Linked DNA regions of Coturnix japonica. The protein of the gene in region 2 purifies or fractionates together with the protein of the main gene of each other region. This does not show direct contact. Links are inferred from orthologs where the notes say so. Each region holds a gene or a part of one and is shown on either strand. Other genes may lie near its edges. The genes, in order: CLDND1, GOLGA7 and ZDHHC5.

Region 1 (6,426 bases), on a different chromosome or scaffold from region 2:
CAAACTAAGCTATACAGTCAGCTCACCATTTCTCCAAAATTGCATATAGAATAAATTCACTATGAGTCTCAGGTGAAGGGGGACGACAACGGGTGGTGACAATCCCCCATTATTCCCCCTATAAGAAGTCCAAGTTAATTAAAAAACAAAAAACAAACAAACAAAACCCAGCAGAAATAATGGAAATCAGCTCAAGTGATGCACTGGTAGTTGAACACTTATGCGCAGACAGAAAATGAAACTATAGCTCCAGTAAAACTACAGTGCCACTCCAGAGCGAACAAGTAGCAGAGAGAAACTACAGCTGTGAAATTAAATGAATGAAATTAGTGAAGAGGTTGCTGAAGTAATGGAAATTCTGACTGATACCGTACCAGCCTGATATGCCAATTGACCGACAAAAAGAACAAACATTAAGTAACAGACCTAAGGGACTTATGAGACATAGCTTTGAGTGAACCAGTGCTAGTGAGACAGTTCAGCTGAGGAATTGAGAACACAATAATAGAATGAAAATCCCACAGGATCCTCCCACAGGATCCAGCATCTGCTAATCATGTCAGTTGACAAACAAAGAAAACAAAAACAAATAGCTGATATAAAGGAAACAACAAAAAAACAAACCATGGTGTAACAGTAACAGTTGGACTCTTCATCTGACAGACCTCCCTTGTGATACACTGGCAGATCTGATCCATCAATTTGGCAGTCATCGCCCACACTGAATCTGCACCTGTCAGACACTTCAGCTGTCAAAGAAAGTAAGCTGTAAACAACAACAGAAACAGCAACAAAAAGATATTTAAGGGACTTAATTGACCCAGGACATCTGTAGTGTAAACCAGCATCAGGACGCAGAGTTGTCTGAGAAAGGAAAGTAACAGCAACGACAGTAAAAAGCACCAGAATAATGGAAATATGCAGTGTGATCCCACACCTAGGAATGGCGTACAGGATCTGTTTTAAATGAGAAACCGCAGCAGACTGCCGTTCCAGGGATGTTACAGCAATCTTCAGTGTGAACCAGCATCAGGGAATGCAGTGCAGGTTCTGTCAGTAGGGGGAAACAGCCTTGAACATCATTAGGTCTTACCTACCTGAGCCATGCAGGAGCTTCTTAATTGTTCCATAAATTCCCATCAAACTAGTGTGAGTTCATAAACTGCAGCTACAACATCTGTATTTTCTCAGATTATGCAAGGAAGTATCAGAGCTCCTCTCATCAGGCTCAGATAGACTTGGAGTTTGCAGAAAATCATTTTAATTGGCGAGATGACGAAGTATTGGACAGCAAGACTTTCTGAACTTCGATCTTGGTTTTCAGAATCACGCATGTGCTTATCTCTGTTCACTTTGTAAAGACAGCAGCAATGCTAGAAGGAGAAGTGGGCTGTTCTCTACCACAAACCAGAAATAGTACTTTAGAAACTATACTAACAAGGTCCCTGATCTTCAAGGAACCAGCAAACACCTATTCAAACAAAAGACAACAGCAGAGAGACAACGTGCCAACTTCCATGTCATCCCCATCAGTAGTAAGTCACAGAACCCTTGATAACAGTGTCATTCCTTTTTAGGATTCATTTCTTCTAAAACACGTTTCCTATACTGAGCACAAAGCAAGGAACTGAGAGGAGTTAAGCCTTCAGAATTAAACAATTTAGTCTTGGAACACTTTTCTAGGCAAGACTGGCCACCCAGCCTGGACAAAAATGCAGTAACTTAGAAGAAACACATGCAAAGACTGGGAGCTCATTAGAACTGAAATGGGTATGCATCCCTCCGGTGTCAAATGTGTTAGAAAGGCTTCAAGAATAACAAACCTAACAAAGTGTCTTTGTTTCTGGTGATATTTCCGACTACAGAGATGCACAGTCCCACCCCAACCCCCACTCCCATCATTCTAGAACATTCCCTCCCTATCCCAACAAATTCACACATCAAAAGTTTGAGGACTGTTTTATTCCACTTAAACAACAGATTTGGGGCAAGGTGGGAATTGAGAAGCACCTTTAAAAAAAAAAAATCCTATTATGTATTACGTAGGTAAAATAAGAGTTTTACAAAAGTTTATATTATGTACATATACACACATACACTAAATCAAATTCAGAGTTAAAAAGGTCGTAAAGGTTTGCCTTTGATACAACAGGAGAGAGGAAAGCCTTATTTCACAGCAAGCAAAAAGCACAAGTTAAGATTACAGTGCACAAACACACGTAGTGCAGGTACCTGGAAGCAGCGTACCTAGAGTAGCACAAACTTCCACATAGGCAAACTTCTCCTCTTCCACAGCAAAAGCAGCACAGATTCTCTGTCTAGGGGAATGTGCTACGCAACCACTCACATAGCCAGCTGCTCTGCTTACGTCAGTTTTGGCAGAAGCCATAGAAAGTAACAAACTAGCAAGAATAAGAGACCTAAAGCTAAGCTACAGCACTGATTTAACTACAGCACTTCCACTGCTTTTTGTCTGCTCTAAGGCCTATGGAGAGTGCCCAACCCATGATTTATTATTTGTGCTCTCTAGTTCCCATTCTTGCCTACCTGCACCTTTTCCTATCTCACTTCCACATCACAATGCCTTTCCTATTTCCTCCAGGCTGACAGGATAATAAAATTAAGAAGAGATACACATTTAACTAAGGGGATATTCAAAGAAAAATCAACCAAAGAAATCTTAAAAATATATATATTAAAAATTGTTTTTAGAAACTAAGTTCTGCAAACTTCTGGCAAAGTCTGGTCATTTAGCCCAAAGGTCTTTGTCTTCAGGGCCTGCAGGTTTTTCTGTTTCAACTGGCAAATAGCGAGCAGTACAAGCCCAAATTCCTGTCTGAAAGAACAATAAAAGTAATAAAGGGTGAGGGGAGTCTCTTACATGGAAACCTAATACTGGGGTAGCAGCACTTACTATGCTACACGGTATGCTTTCAAGAGAGTGAATTCCTTTCTGTTGGTGCGAGCTGCCCAGATGAAAAGAGCAGCTGCCATAAACTGCAAAGGTGCTGAGACGCAGGCCAGGCAGAAGGACCAGCCAAATTCACCCCTCACGTCACCAGGTAGGGGCAGCTTCTTATGAAGCAGTTCAATCCCAGCTACATAGCAGCCAACCAGGCCCAGTGTACAAAGTCCTGGGGGAAGCAGAAGAAAAGTGCAGTTAGTTCATTGCTGAAGTGCTCTGGCTGTCACTAAGAGCTTATAGCGGAGGGAGAGTAAGTGGTGGATGGCAGAGGACCTACCTGCAAGAAAATGGAGGACTCCAGTGGCAATGGCAGGGTACAGGCTGCGACAGGCGCACGCACAGAGCCCAATCAGAGCTCCAAAGCACATAAGACCAAGGCTAACAAATGGCAGGAGAAACTGCAATCGCCAGAGATCTGCACATTAAAGAAACACAGACACCAGGTTTATTGAACTGACCTTCTCCACCATGCTGTGTTCCTTTCCACCCACACTCCTTCACTGGTTTAGCTAAAAAGGTCAAAAAGCTCCACCAAAGTAGAAAGAACTTTAGACTTCCAAACTCCTGTAGAATACTCATGGCCAAAGTTGTTGCTAGAGCATCTAAGTTTTCCTTTAAAGCTTTGACCTACTACTTGTAAAACAAACAAAGAAACCAACAAACTGCAGAGCAAGATGCAGATGCTGTCTCACCAGTGACTGCATTTGGGAAACCCCATTATTTTTCTTTTTTGTTTTTTAGATCCCACTGTTTTTACCTGCAAGATGTGAAAGACACTTACAAGTCCGATTCAAATCTGTGCCACTGTTGTGATTTCCAGGCTCTATGTACTTCTCCATAAACTGATCGGAGAGGGAAAAACTGATGCAGTTTGTAGTCATATCAGTTTCTGGAACAACGACAACAACCAGACAACTGCCATTAGCTTTTTCCAACTCCCCTTCTTCATTCAATTCTCTTAAGCATTTAAACTGTCCAAGTACAACTTCAGACTAAGAAAAAAAATACTTCCCAAAACAATTTTGTAGGATATCTTGATAGTAACGATAAAGTAGTTAGCACAAGGCATAACATTATACATGCAGAATTTCCACCACACTTCTTTAAAGCAACCAACATTTGTCCAAGTTTGTCATTCTATCTCTAACAGCTCCAAAATCTGCTGGTGTCACAGTGGGGCATTTGTGACACATGAGGAAAACAAATAACCATCTAAAAGGAGCAAGTGTTGTCTTGCTAAAGTAGTTAGTTTGATTTCCCCTCCCCTTTGATCCCACAGACAGAGGATAACTAGCAGAGCCATAATAACCGTATCACCTGTTGTGCAGCAGGTGCAAAAGAACTCCCACCAACCTAAGTTACAGCAGACTAAATTCAGATAACATACAATATACCAAATTCAGATTCTGTAGCATTGACAGAGATATTTCCCATATCACTCCTTTAGAAGTTTACATTGCCATTATTAAAAAGTAAACATACGAGTTAGAAATAAGCTTCCCGAGTGAAGAAAGTGAAGTGTGAATTAGTCCAGAGATACCTGGTGGGCTGTACCAGTGAGAGTTTTTGGGTACAGTAATGCACCTCCTCCACAACCCAACGGTGCCGTTGCATCGGAATAGTGCATCTGTGTAGGTCTTCTCATCTGCCTCTTCACTGACAAATTCTTCCCAGATGCTCCTGCCGGCTTCAGTAATGTTCTCAGCAGGGGACAGAGTATGATACTCATACCAGAAATCAGTACCCAAGGAAGCTGCCATATATATGGTGGAGATGAGGCTGAGAACACATGCAATTACCAGCGCTGTAGCAAAACGGTTATCCATCATTGCTGCTGAAATAAGAAAGAAGGTCCAAGTGAGTAACTCCTCTGATGCTAAATATGAAGTTATCTTAGCAGTGTCAGCCTCAGTACATCATTCCCGTTATGCAATGTTTCTTTAGGATATGCATCTTTTCTAAGATGCCAGAAGCACATAAATGCTATGTCTACAGTACTACTCCATACTCACTGGATCTGTGAATTCAAGGCACAGGTATCTCTCTTCTCCCAGCCTCTATACATCACCCTGAGAGAGAAACAGCAATTCTGCCCCCAAAGCAGGTGACACAGCTCACTGGCACTTCTGATCTTGACTGTAGGCAACCACAGAAAGCAGAAAAAACCAACTAGAGCTCTCAGAAGATTTACCTTTCCTTAAAGAGATTAGCAAGGGAAGAAGCTATTTTTAGCCTGCCGCCCCATATGACTTTCACAGCTTGTGTTGACAGCAAAGGTAAGAACCACACAGATACCAAATAGCCTCTTCCAGACTATTCACAAGGGGCGGCCATGCCAAAATGCCAGAATGCCTTTAAGAAAACTATCAAGTATCACTAGGCACCAGAGATATAACACAAAGGAAGCAGGGAAGGACAAGTACGGAAATCCAATAAATGCTGAGATAACACAACAGCATATGCAGAGGCATTTCTGAAGAGCTAAAATGTTTCCAAGGGAATGCCCTGTTACATGGGCATTAGATGACAGTATCTTCCAAAGCTGAAATACCTTCACGTACCACCAGGAGGATCTTGCTCTGGCTCCAAGAGGTAATTAAGGTCCTCCTTCACAGGCCCACATAAAAGCACAAACTCATGGGTGAAGGCAGCACAGGAAAAAAACTGATATGACATGCACTTACGTTTGGACAATACTGTGATTACAGTGAATAACCGATTGCTAATACACAATATTTTGTAGATACTGTGATATGTCAGAAGACTTTGAAGTGTTTGATGTGTCTGCGGTGCTCAATTAAATCTATGGATAACAATAAATAGGGCTTGATGATCTCGCCAAATGAAATATCAACTGAAGTCACTTCTGCATCTAGAGCTGTTCTGGTGTTATGAACTACCATACAATCTAATCAGTTCTTCTTTACTGCTCATTTTATCTTCCATCCCCCACAAATCTTAATCAAAATATGTATGTTTGATTTTATTTTAGTCTAGCTCCTTTGAAGTTGAATGAATTGGGAACAGCAAATGCCTAAACATAGAACATTCACAAGGAAAAAGAAAAGTCAGCGCTCAAGTCAGATGTGCCAACACTAATTTCTAAACTAAGAAACAAGGTGCAAAATAAGCAGGGAGTTTCAAAGGCACCAATATCTACTGTTAACTATGCCCTTCTCATTTCTTTTCCCTCCTACCTGCTCCTCTACTTGGTTCAAACTGGCCAATGGAGTTGGGAGTGAGATTACTTATACTTATATCATTCCCTATGCCTCATTTCTACATTGGAAGAGATATAATTACAGACAGTATGCCTTATTTAACTACTCCTTAGAAATGATCAAGAGTAGAACTGATGTTTTTCTGAACTAAAAAGTAGTACCCACTTGAAACACCACAACACTTGTAACTCTAAAAAGCAACGCACAAGCTCTGAACCTTTATAAGCCACATAAATATAT
Region 2 (6,492 bases):
CAAAAGCCAAAACACTCCATCTCTCCTATATTATTCCTAAGCTCTTGAATTCCTTCTATAATTGGATCATGGCTCAATTCTGAACATATTTTTCCTTGAGAAGAGCAAAGAGAAAAGAATGAACCCAAACCTGGTTCCTAGGAACGTGCTTTAGGTATTGCTGAGGAATGTCAATGCAAAAAGAGAGGAAATAACACACAGCTCAATAGTGCGCCAGCAGGCAAAGAGTGATGAGACCATCCCACACAACAGCTCTGTCGAATCAGTGTTTTCCTATAAGTTATAATAAATTCATAAAGAAACAGTTTTACACTTCACGTATTAATCAGAGAAGGGGAAGAGTTATGTTTATTGGTTCAGCATCCATTTTATTGTACTTCCTGTTTTATAGACTCTCCCTCTTCTGCTCAGCACTGACATACAACAGCACATACACAGCAGTAGAAAAAACACCAGGAATAAAGTCCCTCTCTTCTAGGAATAACCAAAACATTAAAACGAGAAACATTTTTTGCCTTCTAGTTTTTCCATAAGAATCAGTACAGGACGCTTCCAACGCTCATTGCCTTGAGTCATTTTGCACTGGGAAGAGGCACTGCGTATCCCCTCACTGCAATACTGACCTCGAGGGAAAGCCTTTCTTCTGGAAAATTCCACTCTGACTTGTAGGTTTCCAAAGCCCAATCAGAAAGATTTAAGAAGTGGGGAGGAACGGCACCACATTTACATGACTAGAGCCAACTTCTGTTGGGTTAATGCGGTTCTGTCAGAAGAATATGCAGCTTCACCACTTCTGCGTTTCCTTTAGGAACTTAAAAGTGATCTCAAGGCTCAATAATTCGCCACAAAATGAATGCTGACCAGCTGGGTCACACCACGTGGAGTAGTTTTAGGAAGTCAGTCCCTGTAGAAAATGGCACTGTGGATCTGGCAGCAGAAAGAGGAATGATGCTCTAAAGTAGGAGGTAGGGGAACTGATACAGCAAGTCCACTGTTGAGCTGTCTGCTAGAAAAGAAGTTACATGTTAGAACTGATTGCCAGGCAAAATACAAGGTGATTCTTAACATGGGTTATGACCTTTTCATAGATGCTTTAAACACAAAAGCTTTTAGGTACCTCTAAAAACATTCAAGAAAAGCTGCATCTTTCACAGCATAATAGGAAGAACAGTAAAGCACCATCAATTAGGAAGTATTACTTCTCAGAAAGGGTAGAGACTTATGCCAGAAAAGCTTTGTGAAAAATCAAGACTCTTCAAATACAGAAAGCCATTCTGGGCTTGATACAGTGCAAGTTCAGTTTATGTATATTTTACCAAATTCCAATCTTGACTGTTTAAGTCAAATCTGTTATTGTTTGAACTGAGAGTAGCATGAAATTAACCACACATTCAGAAAACCTACACCACACAAGACTTAAGTAAAAAGTCATTGATGACATGCAGTAGCTGGATAAACATTCTGTTTCAGCAGAAGAGTCTACCACTCTGAGCACCATAAAGGAAGCTGAGATTGGCATCTACTGTAATGCTGATATGTACCTGAGACTCCACAGTTTTATCTTCCACTGCTCATGCCTCTGTCTTCATAAATGGTAATTTCAATCTGTGTAGAAAGGCTGTTAGGAAAATATACTATAAGAAGTTTACAAAAATGAAAGTGAAAAAATCATTATGATATTAGAACTTTTGATCTTTCTGCTTCATAGCTGCTTACTCAAGAGCTACAAAACAAACACAACAGCTCACCTGCCTTGTCAGATCAGATCGACCTATGGCAGCTCAGGATTGTTCTGACAACAAGAACACAAGATGCTGCATACAAAGAGCTTGTGAACCTTGCCATCTCCTCCTAAATCTCAGCAAAAGCTCCACAACAGGGCAGAAATAAACTTATCTGCTCAAAGAACAGCACATACCTGAGAGTAACAAGACTGATCATGTATTTCGCAGTATCACAGATCAAGCATGACTAGAGGATACCATATTATTAAAGAATTAAGAAATAATCTTAGAAACCACACAAGGATACAACTCTTAGTCCTCTTTCAATGGGATCGGTCAGAAGGAGGCCCTGAGGAGCATAGATCTTCTCGTTCTGTTCCTGAATGAACTTGGCAATTTTCTTTAGAACCTGATAATAGAACAGCAGGGAAGTCACAGTTTATTCACTAGGAGAGTGGTTAGGCCCTGGAACAGGCTGCCCAGGGAGGCTGTGGATGCCCCATCCTTGGAGGTGTTCATGACCAGGTTGGACAGGGCCCTGGGCAACCTGATCTAGTAAAGGCGTATGTTTGGTGGCCCTGCTAGGCAGGGGGGTTGGAACTACATGATCCTTGAGGTCCTTTCCAACCCAGGTCATTCTGTGATTCTGTGATTTATGAAACTAGATTTCTTAATTAAGTTTTCCCGTCTTAGAGCCATAGCTCAGCAATACCACCGATATAACAATATTAGGAGAACCCAGCATGAGAGCACCGATACCCACCAGAGACAGAAACTGTTCTGTACAGAAAATGTTACACTGCTCAGGTAACTCATATATCAGACGGACTTGTCTGTAGATGTTAAGTCACCCCGTAGTAAGATCCAGAGTCTATATGGAATTCATACAACTGAGGTACAAGTCACAGAAAACCCACCAGGAAATAAAGCATCTGAAGTCTGTAGGATATACCACTTTCTAAGAAAGAAGGAAAACAAAAGAAACCTACCTTTTCATAATGTGTTTCCATGCACAAGAAGATAGTATAGGCAGTCAGACAGGCCAGACACCCCTCAAGGTATGACTGGCCCCCAAGCTTCTCAGCTTCAGCATAAAGGTTATTCAGTGTCCGGACAGTCTCTTCAAACTGCTGCCTATCGATCTGAAAGAGAAATCAGGTTTAACCAGCACAGCTCAGAACTCAGCAGTACCTTCTAATAACAGCCCTTGCTTGTTTTTATTCCCACTTTGTCTTTTTTCCCCCCTCCCCATAGTAATATCACCTACTGCCATCTTCCACTTAGGTGTGCTCAAAGTGTGGAGGGTGCTGTGAGTTACAGGCCTGAAACTCTTTGTTGTGATGTTGTTATATCAAGCCTGAATTGTAATTGTATCATTGTTGTTATATCAAGCCTGAATTGCAACACAACCTGAACACAAAGCATTTAAAGGAACTGTAATTCCACCAACAAACAAAAGCAGCTTCCTTAACACACAACGGGCTGCTAGAGCATGAGAGACAAGCAGTAATTCCTTAGTGCTTCATGCAGCACTGTCCATGGGGGGGGTCTGTAAAGCAATACAATGGCGGGGGGGTAAATATAAAGCACGGGATCCGCTTTACCCGGTTCTCCAGCTCGGCCGGGAACTTGCTCTGGAACTGACAGCGGGTCCCCCCGCTGTAATCACGCTGGATGAACACTTTGCCCGACACGGGCGCTTGTTGCGGCCTCATGGCACCGCGGCCGCCTCGCTCCGCTCCTCCGGGCTCCGCCGCTCCGTTCACACCGCGCTAAACGCGTCCGGTCAGCTCCGGGCCAAGGAAAAGGCGGAAGCGATATTCCGCGCATGCGCCGTCGCCCCCATCAGGCCCAGAGAGAGAGACAGTGCGCATGCGCACGCGCCGGAGCGAAACAGAGCGTCAAGCTCACGCATGAGCACTCGCTACCCGTCCCACCAATCGCAGCTGACGCACAGCACTCGTGACCTCACGCACACCCCCTGACGTCCGTAGAGTGGTACAGCCCCGCTCCCCCCCGCTTGCAGATCACATGGCACAGTCCGGATACGCCCCCTCGCCGCGCCCCGCCTATCCGCGCATGCGCGCTGAGAGCGGTCTCTAGTCATATATATAGGGCGTATAAAACGCTGTGTGAATTGGAAGGGAGATTCAATGCGTTATCAATGGGAGGGGTGTTTGTAAGTACAGATGTAGGATGGGGATCCAGAGCCTGGGTTCAGACACATACAGTGACCCCTGGTTGGGTGCTGGGTGTCCATTGGGACACCGAGCACCCACTGCACAGCAGTGACTGCTGGATCTGGATGGATCCTGCCTTATAAGAGCAGAGCCTTGCTTTGCTAACAAAGCAGTTCTGCATTGGGATATCTCTTGGCTGGTGTAACTTCATCCCTCCATAGGGAGGTGTTATGTTATGAGTTTGGGTTGTAGCTGTTATGAGTTTGGTACAAGGGCTTGCAGCTGTTGGGTAGCAATGGGTGGATGAGGTTTGTGAGGCTGCAGGTTACCCCTATCCCACAGAATGTAACTAATTCCAAAGGGAGCAGAGTTCTGAACAAAGCAGGCAAAATGTGCATGTACTGAGGTCAATGGGAAGCTAAAGCTACGTTAATCAGGCCTTAATGCAAGGGCAGTTAATGGCTGAGGCATCGTGCTGGTGGTCAGGGTTATTCTCCAGCACCCCATGCCTCCAAAGCCCCAAGTGCTGGAGTGCTGCGTGGGCTCTGATCTGTAGGGTTCAATGCTTTGCTGAGATTGATGAAGCGTTTGTTGTCCCCTGCCGACCACGCCACAAATCAACACGGAGGAAACAAATACAAGAATGATTTATTGGGTTTAGTTTTAACAGGGCATAATAAGCAGCCGCCGTGTCACGCTCCAGACAAAACTAACAATGTTGTGATGATAAAAGACAGTAAACAGAGCTGTCAGTGTCCCCAGCACACAGCCCAGGGGTGGCAGCTAGGGAAGAGGCACCCCTCTAGCCCAAAGGAGGGCTCTTCTTTGTGCTAAGCAGTTTGCAAATGTGATAATGACACCTTTAAATTGCTCGGGGAGGAGATAAAAAGGAAACAGAGAAAAATACAAATAGAGATCTGACATTAGAGATCTAAATGTAATCTGAGTGCTGAGTGTCCCAGGAACCCGGCTATCAGCTGCTGTGATCTCTGTGCACCCCCCTCCTGTCCCCCCCCCCCCCTCCAATAGGAGCAGCCTGAACTAATTAACCCTCTAGCACTCCATAATGAAGACTAATAAACACCTAGTGGGTCTGCTTGAACAAACAACCCCTGTGCCTTGTGCAGGAAGCGCCCAGTCAGTTGGAGCAGCGTGGGGACAAAATGTGGCATGAGCTGAGCCCCCATTCCTGCAGCCCATTCCCCATTGCCTGCCTGAAAGTCCTCTCAGGAATGATCTGCTTCAAATGCTGCACCAGATGGAATGCGTTTCCTTAACCTTTAGCTGCTTGCAATGTGAAAGCAGTTAAGATTGTGATGTTAAAATTGTTTCAGATGTTTTATGTGCATATGAAATATTCTAGAAGGATGAATGCAAACTTTGATCCAGCTACGATTTTACTGGAGTTTATAGAAACAAAAAATATCTATTTTCAGGGTGTCTGGATCTTCAGGTACAGATACCCACTGTTGAGTTTTTGGAGTGAAAAAAGCTGGCAAATGCTGTAACCAGAGGGAACCTCCTGGGTTTGCTGACCTAACATGGAGGCTGAACCTGGAAATGGTAACCATGTAATCATAGAATTACTCAGGTTGGGAAAGACCTCAAAGATCATCAAGTCCAACCGCAGCCTAACCATAGTACCTTAACTCTAACAACCCTATGCTAAATCATATCTCTGAGCACCACATCCAAATGGCTCTTATACACATCCAGGGGTGGCAACTCAACCACCTCTCTGGGGAGCCTATTCCAGTGTTTAACTTCCCTTTCTGTAAAGAAGTGTTTCCTAACTTCCAACCTAAACTTACCTGGGTGCAACTTGAGGCCATTTCCCCTCGTCCTGTCAACAGTGAGAAGAGACCAGCCCCGCTCTCACTGTAAGCACTTTAAGTTACTGGAGGAGAGCAATCAGGTTTCCCTTCAGCCTCCTTTTCCACAGCCCCAGCTCCCTCAGCTTCTCCTCATAGGGCCAATTTTCCAAGCCCTTCACAAGCCTCATTGCCCTTCTCTGGACCTGCTCCAATACCTCCATGTCCTTTTTGTACTGAGGTGCCCAACACTGAATGTGTAATGTGCCTCTTTCTGAAAGATCCATTCACTGTTTCAGTGTTTTATGACACCAAGCGTAAGAAGTTCGTAATTTTAACAGCTTATTCCAATGCACCATCTCTAAATCAGAACAAGCGTGTTAAACTTATATAGCGAGCGTGCATGAAATACTAAAGAAAAGCAAAGCAATGTCTCATCTTGGGCAGAATGTTGTTCTTCCAGGCTTAAGCAAGACCTTGGTGTTTCTGAGAGGCACTGAAGGAGGAGCTGCAAACCAGCATGTGGCATCCCAGGCTGCCTTGTTCCCATGGGACACTGAACACACGTGGGCAGGAGGAGGTTCCTGTGCCTGGGGAGGGTAATTTGAAGCTGTGCTGGTGGGTACCACACTCAGTGTTACACAGAAAAGGCAAGAGCAAGGAACAGGATTGTGTTTGTTATTGGTAAATCAAACCATCTGTGATCCATGGACTGCAGACCTTTCCTAGGAGAAACACCAAATGTTGCTGCTGTTCCCCTTCCCTTGGTGCTGGGCT
Region 3 (6,619 bases), on a different chromosome or scaffold from region 2:
AGACGGAGGTGGGGGGGAAGGGAGGGGAGAGCCGCGGTACGGGCACTGCATCACGGCGCCGTGACTCACTGCGCGACGTCACCGCACGGCGGCGACACGGCACCGATACGGCACCGACACGGCACCGATATGGCACCGATACGGTACCGACACGGCACAGATACGGCACCGATACGGTACCGATATGGCACCGACACGGCACCGCCAACACGGGCAGAGCTGAGGCCGCTCTGCCGGCTCCGTGCGCTTCCGAGCGGCCCCCGGGGCAGGAGGGGAGCGTGGGTCCCGTTGTGCCCGCGGCACACAGCGGGGCCGGGAGCGGTGAAACGGGGAGAGGCTGCGGGTGCGGCCCCCGATAGGAGCTGTACGGTGAGATACAGGCAGCACCGGGGGGCTGCCCGCAGAACCGGGCCCGGACTGCATCTCCCAGCACGCCCCATCCCGGTGATGGAGCGGGCTGCGCTACCACCTCAGTTCCGTCGCGTCCTGTGACGTAAGACGGCCCTGCTGCAGTCCGGGCTCCGTCCCGTGCTGCCCCGTCCCGTTCCCGGGGTCCAGCCGTGCCGCACTGCGCGGTGCGGTCGGGCCGGGCCATGGCGGATGATGGCGGCGATGAGAAGAAGCAGGTGGCAAAGTTCGAGCTGGAGCGGGAGACCGAGCTGCGCTTCGAAGTGGAGGCCTCGCAGACGGTGCAGATGGAGCTGCTGACCGGCATGGCCGAGGTGTTCGGCACCGAGCTGACCCGCAACAAGAAGTTCACGTTCGATGCCGGTGCCAAGGTGGCCGTGTTCACGTGGCACGGCTGCACCGTGCAGCTCAGCGGGCGCACCGAGGTGGCCTATGTCTCCAAGGACACCCCCATGCTGCTCTACCTCAACACACACACGGCCCTGGAGCAGATGAGGCGGCAGGCGGAGCGCGAGGACGAGCGGGGACCCCGCGTCATGGTGGTGGGCCCCACCGACGTGGGCAAGTCCACCGTGTGCCGCCTGCTGCTCAACTACGCCGTGCGCCTCGGCCGCCGGCCCACCTTCGTGGAGCTGGACGTGGGGCAGGGCTCCGTGTCCATCCCCGGCACCATGGGAGCCCTGTACATCGAGCGGCCGGCTGACGTGGAGGAGGGCTTCTCCCTGCAGGCCCCGCTGGTTTATCACTTTGGCTCCACCACACCCGGCACCAACATCAAGCTGTACAACAAGGTGAGTGTGTGGAGTCCCTGCTGTGTCACCTTGTGCTTGGCCCTGCTTGGAGCTCCAGGGTGTCTTGCCCGCCCCTGTGAGTCAGGGGTTGCCTATTGTATAAAACCGTGGTGCGATGCACCAACAAAAGCACGAAGGGTAAAAAGCTGGTCCAAATCCCCAGCGTCCTTCTCTGTCTGCAGTTTGGTGATGGTTAGGAGCCCCTATTTGGCTGAAGGTTGCCCTCAGCCACACGCTTGCCCTCGTCCTGTCTGTGCAACATTGGGATCAGCTCTGCTGATGTGGTCAAGCAGCCTTTAGTGCACGTAATGCACTTTATGGGCAGCTTCAGCACCAAATGCGGTTGCTGCCCCTCTGGGGCTATTAACTGGGAGGTGGGCAAGGAAGGATTTCAGCTCAAGTGACTGCCTGTGGCCCAGGCATTGCTTCTACCTCTTAGCACTAAATAAACCCACTGAGTGAGTTAGGAGCATTGCCTCTGATTGCTGTATCGCTAAGAATGGGACAGGTCCTCATCACATGGCCTCCAGCTGTGTGGATGCCTTGTGGGAATGGAAACATCCCTCTCAATCCCACATGCTTTATCCTCGTGTCCCAATATCTGCCTGCAGATCACATCCCGCCTGGCTGACGTCTTCAACCAGCGATGTGAAGTGAACCGTCGTGCGTCGGTCAGCGGCTGCGTCATCAACACATGCGGCTGGGTGAAAGGCTCTGGTTACCAGGCGCTGGTTCACGCTGCTTCGGCTTTTGAGGTAGATGTGGTGGTGGTGCTGGACCAGGAGCGGCTCTACAACGAGCTTAAGAGGGACCTGCCCCACTTTGTGCGCACTGTGCTGCTCCCCAAATCCGGTGGGGTGGTGGAGCGCTCCAAGGACTTCAGGCGGGAGTGCCGAGATGATCGCATCAGGGAGTATTTCTATGGCTTCCGGGGCTGCTTCTACCCCCACGCTTTCGATGTCAAGTTCTCTGATGTTAAGATCTACAAGGTGGGGGCTCCCACCATCCCCGACTCCTGCCTGCCGCTGGGCATGTCGCAGGAGGACAACCAGCTGAAGCTGGTGCCGGTGACTCCGGGTCGGGACATGGTGCATCACCTGCTGAGCGTCAGCATGGCCGACAGCCCCGACGACAACATCTCGGAGACCAGCGTGGCCGGCTTCATCGTGGTCACCGGGGTGGACCTGGAGCGCCAGGTGTTCACCGTGCTGTCTCCTGCCCCTCGCCCGCTGCCCAAGAACTTCCTGCTCATTATGGATATCCGCTTCATGGACCTCAAGTAGCTCCAGCAGGGATGGGGCAGGGGGGGACGTGCGGGATGGCCATGTGTGTCCTTGTACCACTTCTCATTGCCCAGCAGCTTCCATGCGCTGTGTTAGTGTGGGCACAGCTGGAGCAGGAGGCCATATGTTGTTTTTATATCCTTTTGTAACATTTGTTATTAAATTCATGTCTCTTTGGCTCTGTGCTGCTTGTTGCCTAGGCTGTAGGATGGAGGGATGGGCCCCTGGGTGCTGATCCCCTCTCCCCCCCGCCCCCCAGTGGCGCATGCGCGTGGCTGCTTCCCTTTTGGCGCATGCGCAGCGCGCTCCCCCGGCTCCTTCCAGTGTGTTCCCAGGCTCCGACCAATGAGGACGCGCTGCCGACGGGGCGGGACACGCATGCGCAGCCGTGACGTGGTGCCCATCCGCCGAGCGCTGCGCTCGCTCCGTGCCCGGTAGCGTTGGGCGCCGCCCGGGCCGCGCCGCAGTGTGGGTGAGTAACGCGGGATCCCCGCACGGCCCGTCCCGCTCTCGTCGCTCCCTTCTCCTCCCCTCATTGCCGGCCGTAGGGCCGCGGAGCCCCGGCCGCGCCGTGCCCCGGTGCCGCCTCCGAGCCCACGCCCGCCGCTTCACGGCTCGGCCGCTCCCGGCCCTGCCCGCCGCTTCCTCCCGGGCCCTGAGCGCTGACCCGGGAGTTGTTCGCGTCCTTCCGTGCGCGGGGCCGCGGAGCAGCGGCGTGTTGTGGGAGCGGCACTAAGGCCCGGCCGGTTCCGCCGCATTCGTAGGCAGGGACCTCGGTACAGCCACATCCAGCCCGGCTGGGGGCACCTGCCGCACTGCCTTCAGAGTAAAGAATTTCGCCTTATACTTAATCCAAATCTCCCCTCTTTTAGTTTAAAACCATCACTAGTCACACTCTGTCCTCACTGAAAGGCCCATTCCAGCTTTCCTGTAGCCTTTGTAGGTACTGGAAGGCCTCCTAGAGCCTGCTGTTCTCCAGGCTGACCAACCCATCTCCTTGCAGCCCTCAGCATCTGTGTGGAATCCCCTCTGACAGCTCCGTGTCCTTCTGGTGCTGGGAGCCCAGAGCTGCTTTGGAGGGTTGTGTGGTGCTGTGTTATGGAGGCTGGATGGTGGGGTAACAGAGTGCAGTTGTGCTCCTGAGTGCCATGAGGGTGGGCAGGGTTTGTGATTGAGGAGCAGACACTGGCACAGCAATGGCCTGTGTCAGGGTTTGGTTCTCGTGGCCCGTCAATGAGCAGAGGTTCAAGTCTCTGTGGCTGCAGGGCCCCGGCCCATGTGTTGCTGCCTTGTCCAGTGTGAAATTCCTCCTTGAAACACGCTTCCGCACGACGTTCTCCGGTGTTGGTGATGTAATGGGCTGTGCTGGCAGGTGTTCAGCCTGACTACTGCTAAGCAGCTCCAAATTATCAATGTGAAACGTGTTAATCCCAAGTTGTAGCTGAGCATACTGTTACATCTCCCTGAGATGACAGCAAAACCTCACAGTTCTTCCCTGCTCATCTCACTGGTTTAATGGGGAGACTCTGCCCTCCTGGTATCCATTACTGGTAGCTCCTTAGTATGTGATTGCTCCGCCATATGTCTGAACTGGATGCTTTGTAGGATCATCCTTCTTGCACTGATCTTTTCTGGGCTGTAAAACATGACTGCAGCCTTGTCTAGTTGGGAGTGAGGAGGTTGATCAACTTAGCGGGCTTAATCTAATCATCACCTCCAGTGAGGCGTTGTTCCTTAGCAGAGGACTTTGTTCTCATGGTTCCTGAGGTCAGGCAGGAGGTAACTGGGTGGAGCGGGGCCATCAGGAGACCTTCACCTCTCATTTTATACAAGGCTTTTTGTGGTGTTCCCCCCTTCTCCTGCTGCTGTTTCTTCTGCTGGTTGCTCCCTCTGAGCACCGGTGGTGGCAGGGCTGGGTTTGTGCATCGAGGAAGGTGCAGACACATTGGATGAGATTCTGTTCTTCCCTGCTTTGTCCGCAAAATGGGGCTAATCCCATGTAAACCGCTGAGATGGGCAGGGGAGGAATGGGAGCGATGTAAGCAAGGCCAGAGATAAGCACTGAGGGGTTGCTAGCCATGCTGGCTGCCTGCTCTGATGGTTTTGTGCTTTCCTTGGTAGCCTGCATCTCAGCAGCTGCTGCCTGGGTTGTTGTCTGTTGCAGGGATACCTCTTGCTCCTTGCTGTGCAGGGTTTATACAGTGAGCTCAGTGCAGAGGTGAGCTGGCTGGGACATGTTTCTCATCCTGTGAGTAGAAGGTGCCAAGGCGACTACGGATCCGGCCCTGGGATCACCTGCTTCATTCAGATCCTGTGTGCAGGCAGTGAAAACAAGGTGGGACCAGGTAGAGCACATCTTGTCTTTGTGTCGTCCCGGATCTGCCCTGATCGGGACTTGCATCACTCGGAAGGAATTGTTTGTCTCTTTGACCCGTGCTGGGGAAACTCAGCAGGACTGGTTTGGGGCAGGGAGGCAGCTGACGCACCACTGGAGCTCATAACTGAGAGTGAACTCTCTCCGCTCCGTGCCAGCTCCTTTCCCCGGGCGGTAACGAAAGGCAGGGTCGGGAAACCTTGTCACGTTGAGGCGCGCGCTTCCTTCTTCAAGGCTGGGAGTGCTTAGAGGAGCTGCGCTGCTTGTTGGCAGCGTTGGATGGCTCACGCATGGTGAGGAGTGTTTTCTTGTCCCATCTGATGCTTTGGAAAGATCAAGCCCTAAAGCAATACAGACTGTTGAGGCTGCGTGTGGATAGGTCGCTGGAAAGCAATGAGGTGGGGCAGTGGTGAGAAGGACAGGAGGAGCACGGAGCTTCAAGGAGCGAGTGCTGGAAATCAGACTCTTCAGGTTCTCAGCTGAAGAAAAGGCAGCGTGGACTAAAAGAGAAGCGTAAGGTGGCAGCGGTGGCGTTCGGAAGCATCCTGAGGGAAGGAATGGAGGATTTGGTGGAGTCCTCAGAAGCTGAGCGGAGATGGAGGTTGGACCCTCACATGGGTGGAGGGAAGCACATAAATAGGGAATGAGAATATGGGTGTGGGGAAATGGGGGCATTGGGACGAGCTCAGGGAGCAGCTGAGCTGCCTTGCCAGGCAGTAAGGCCAGCTGTGGGATGGGAGTATCAGTGAGGCAGGGGCTGAGTTGGGGACCCTCTGATGAACCTGGGCTCTCCCTTGGGTGTGGGATACCTGGGGTTGTGCTGGATAAGATGAACCAGGGGGAAAAACACAACAGAGGAAGAGGTGCCAGGGTTGGGAAAACAGGCAGAAATGCCAGAGGAGAGGGAAAATGGAGTAATCGGTGACACACAAGCCTAGTAAAGCTTGAATGGGAGGAGGAAGGAGTAGGGCAGGTCCTGAGAAGTATGGAAGGGAGGAGCTGCTGGGCTGGAAGAGGCGGAGAAGGGATCAGGATGGGAGCAGAGCACATACATTCCTCAGGTGAGTTGCGGTGGGGATAAAAGGTTTGGGAGGAAAAAAGGAGAGACTGAGGGTGGGCAGAGGTATAGCAGGAGAGATTGTCTGTTTGGGGTAATTGGTGTGTTACGTGGTCTGAATCGGTATAATCTGTGGGAAGGCAGGGTGGGTCCTGCATGTAGTTTGTGTTTCTCTAGGACATCAGTGTAAGTGATAAGAATGGTCGAGTTTCAGCATCATTTAGCCCCCAAGAAAAGAGAAGATACCTTAAGATTACGCTGCTGAGATCCCAGCCTGCAGTGCCACACCACACAGCGATTCAGGTGCAAACCAGGCTGCAGGAGGGCTGGACCTTGGACACACAGGTGCCCAAGCTGTAGTTTGCATATAAAGACAGGATTCTTCAGCAGAGAGCATTTGGGCACTGGAACAGCCTCCCCTTGGCAGTGGTCACAGACCCAAGCTGCCAGAACTCAAGGAGCATTTGGACAACGCTTTCCAACACAGGGCCTGAGTTTTGGAGCTAGGATTTGGACTCGGTGATGCTTTTGGGTCCCTTCCAACTCAGGATAGTCTGTGTTTCTGTCTTTACTCGTGCATTGATGTTGGGAGCTCTCTCCAGCGCTGCCTGATGCTCATTTCTTCACTAAGCTGAGCCCTCACATGGGCTTTTGCAACTGCCACAGTGTGCCGACTCACCCCGTGAGAGGAGTTGGAGCCCTTTAA

Evidence for each region.
Region 1: the proteins of GOLGA7 (region 2) and CLDND1 purify together in Homo sapiens (affinity purification with mass spectrometry; 3 studies listed by BioGRID and IntAct, counting the BioPlex papers as one, with this or other methods). This does not show direct contact. The link is inferred for Coturnix japonica from reciprocal best matches to the Homo sapiens genes GOLGA7 and CLDND1.
Region 3: the proteins of GOLGA7 (region 2) and ZDHHC5 purify together in Homo sapiens (co-immunoprecipitation; 3 studies listed by BioGRID and IntAct, with this or other methods). This does not show direct contact. The link is inferred for Coturnix japonica from reciprocal best matches to the Homo sapiens genes GOLGA7 and ZDHHC5.

What each region holds. Positions count from the first base shown.
Region 1 is NC_029516.1:74,504,312-74,510,737, forward strand, and holds the end of CLDND1 (claudin domain-containing protein 1), read right to left. Parts: intron 4,800-6,426; 5' UTR 4,795-4,799; coding exon 4,506-4,794; intron 3,855-4,505; coding exon 3,747-3,854; intron 3,381-3,746; coding exon 3,243-3,380; intron 3,135-3,242; coding exon 2,914-3,134; 3' UTR 2,837-2,913; coding exon of another isoform or gene 2,836-2,836; 3' UTR 1,943-2,835; downstream 1-1,942. UniProt on the Homo sapiens protein: Plays a role in negatively regulating the permeability of cells to small molecules.
Region 2 is NC_029537.1:3,952,075-3,958,566, reverse strand, and holds the start of GOLGA7 (golgin subfamily A member 7), read right to left. Parts: upstream 3,629-6,492; 5' UTR 3,440-3,628; coding exon 3,329-3,439; intron 2,867-3,328; coding exon 2,714-2,866; intron 2,134-2,713; coding exon 2,032-2,133; intron 1,606-2,031; coding exon 1,558-1,605; 3' UTR 1,542-1,557; intron 1,007-1,541; exon of another isoform or gene 1,004-1,006; 3' UTR 1-1,003. UniProt on the Homo sapiens protein: May be involved in protein transport from Golgi to cell surface. The ZDHHC9-GOLGA7 complex is a palmitoyltransferase specific for HRAS and NRAS.
Region 3 is NC_029520.1:7,786,192-7,792,810, forward strand, and holds the start of ZDHHC5 (palmitoyltransferase ZDHHC5), read left to right. Parts: upstream 1-2,829; 5' UTR 2,830-2,954; intron 2,955-6,619. Other genes in the region: YPEL4 (protein yippee-like 4), read right to left, coding at 1-51; polyribonucleotide 5'-hydroxyl-kinase Clp1, read left to right, coding at 594-1,199, 1,811-2,482. UniProt on the Homo sapiens protein: Palmitoyltransferase that catalyzes the addition of palmitate onto various protein substrates such as CTNND2, CD36, GSDMD, NLRP3, NOD1, NOD2, STAT3 and S1PR1 thus plays a role in various biological processes including cell adhesion, inflammation, fatty acid uptake, bacterial sensing or cardiac functions.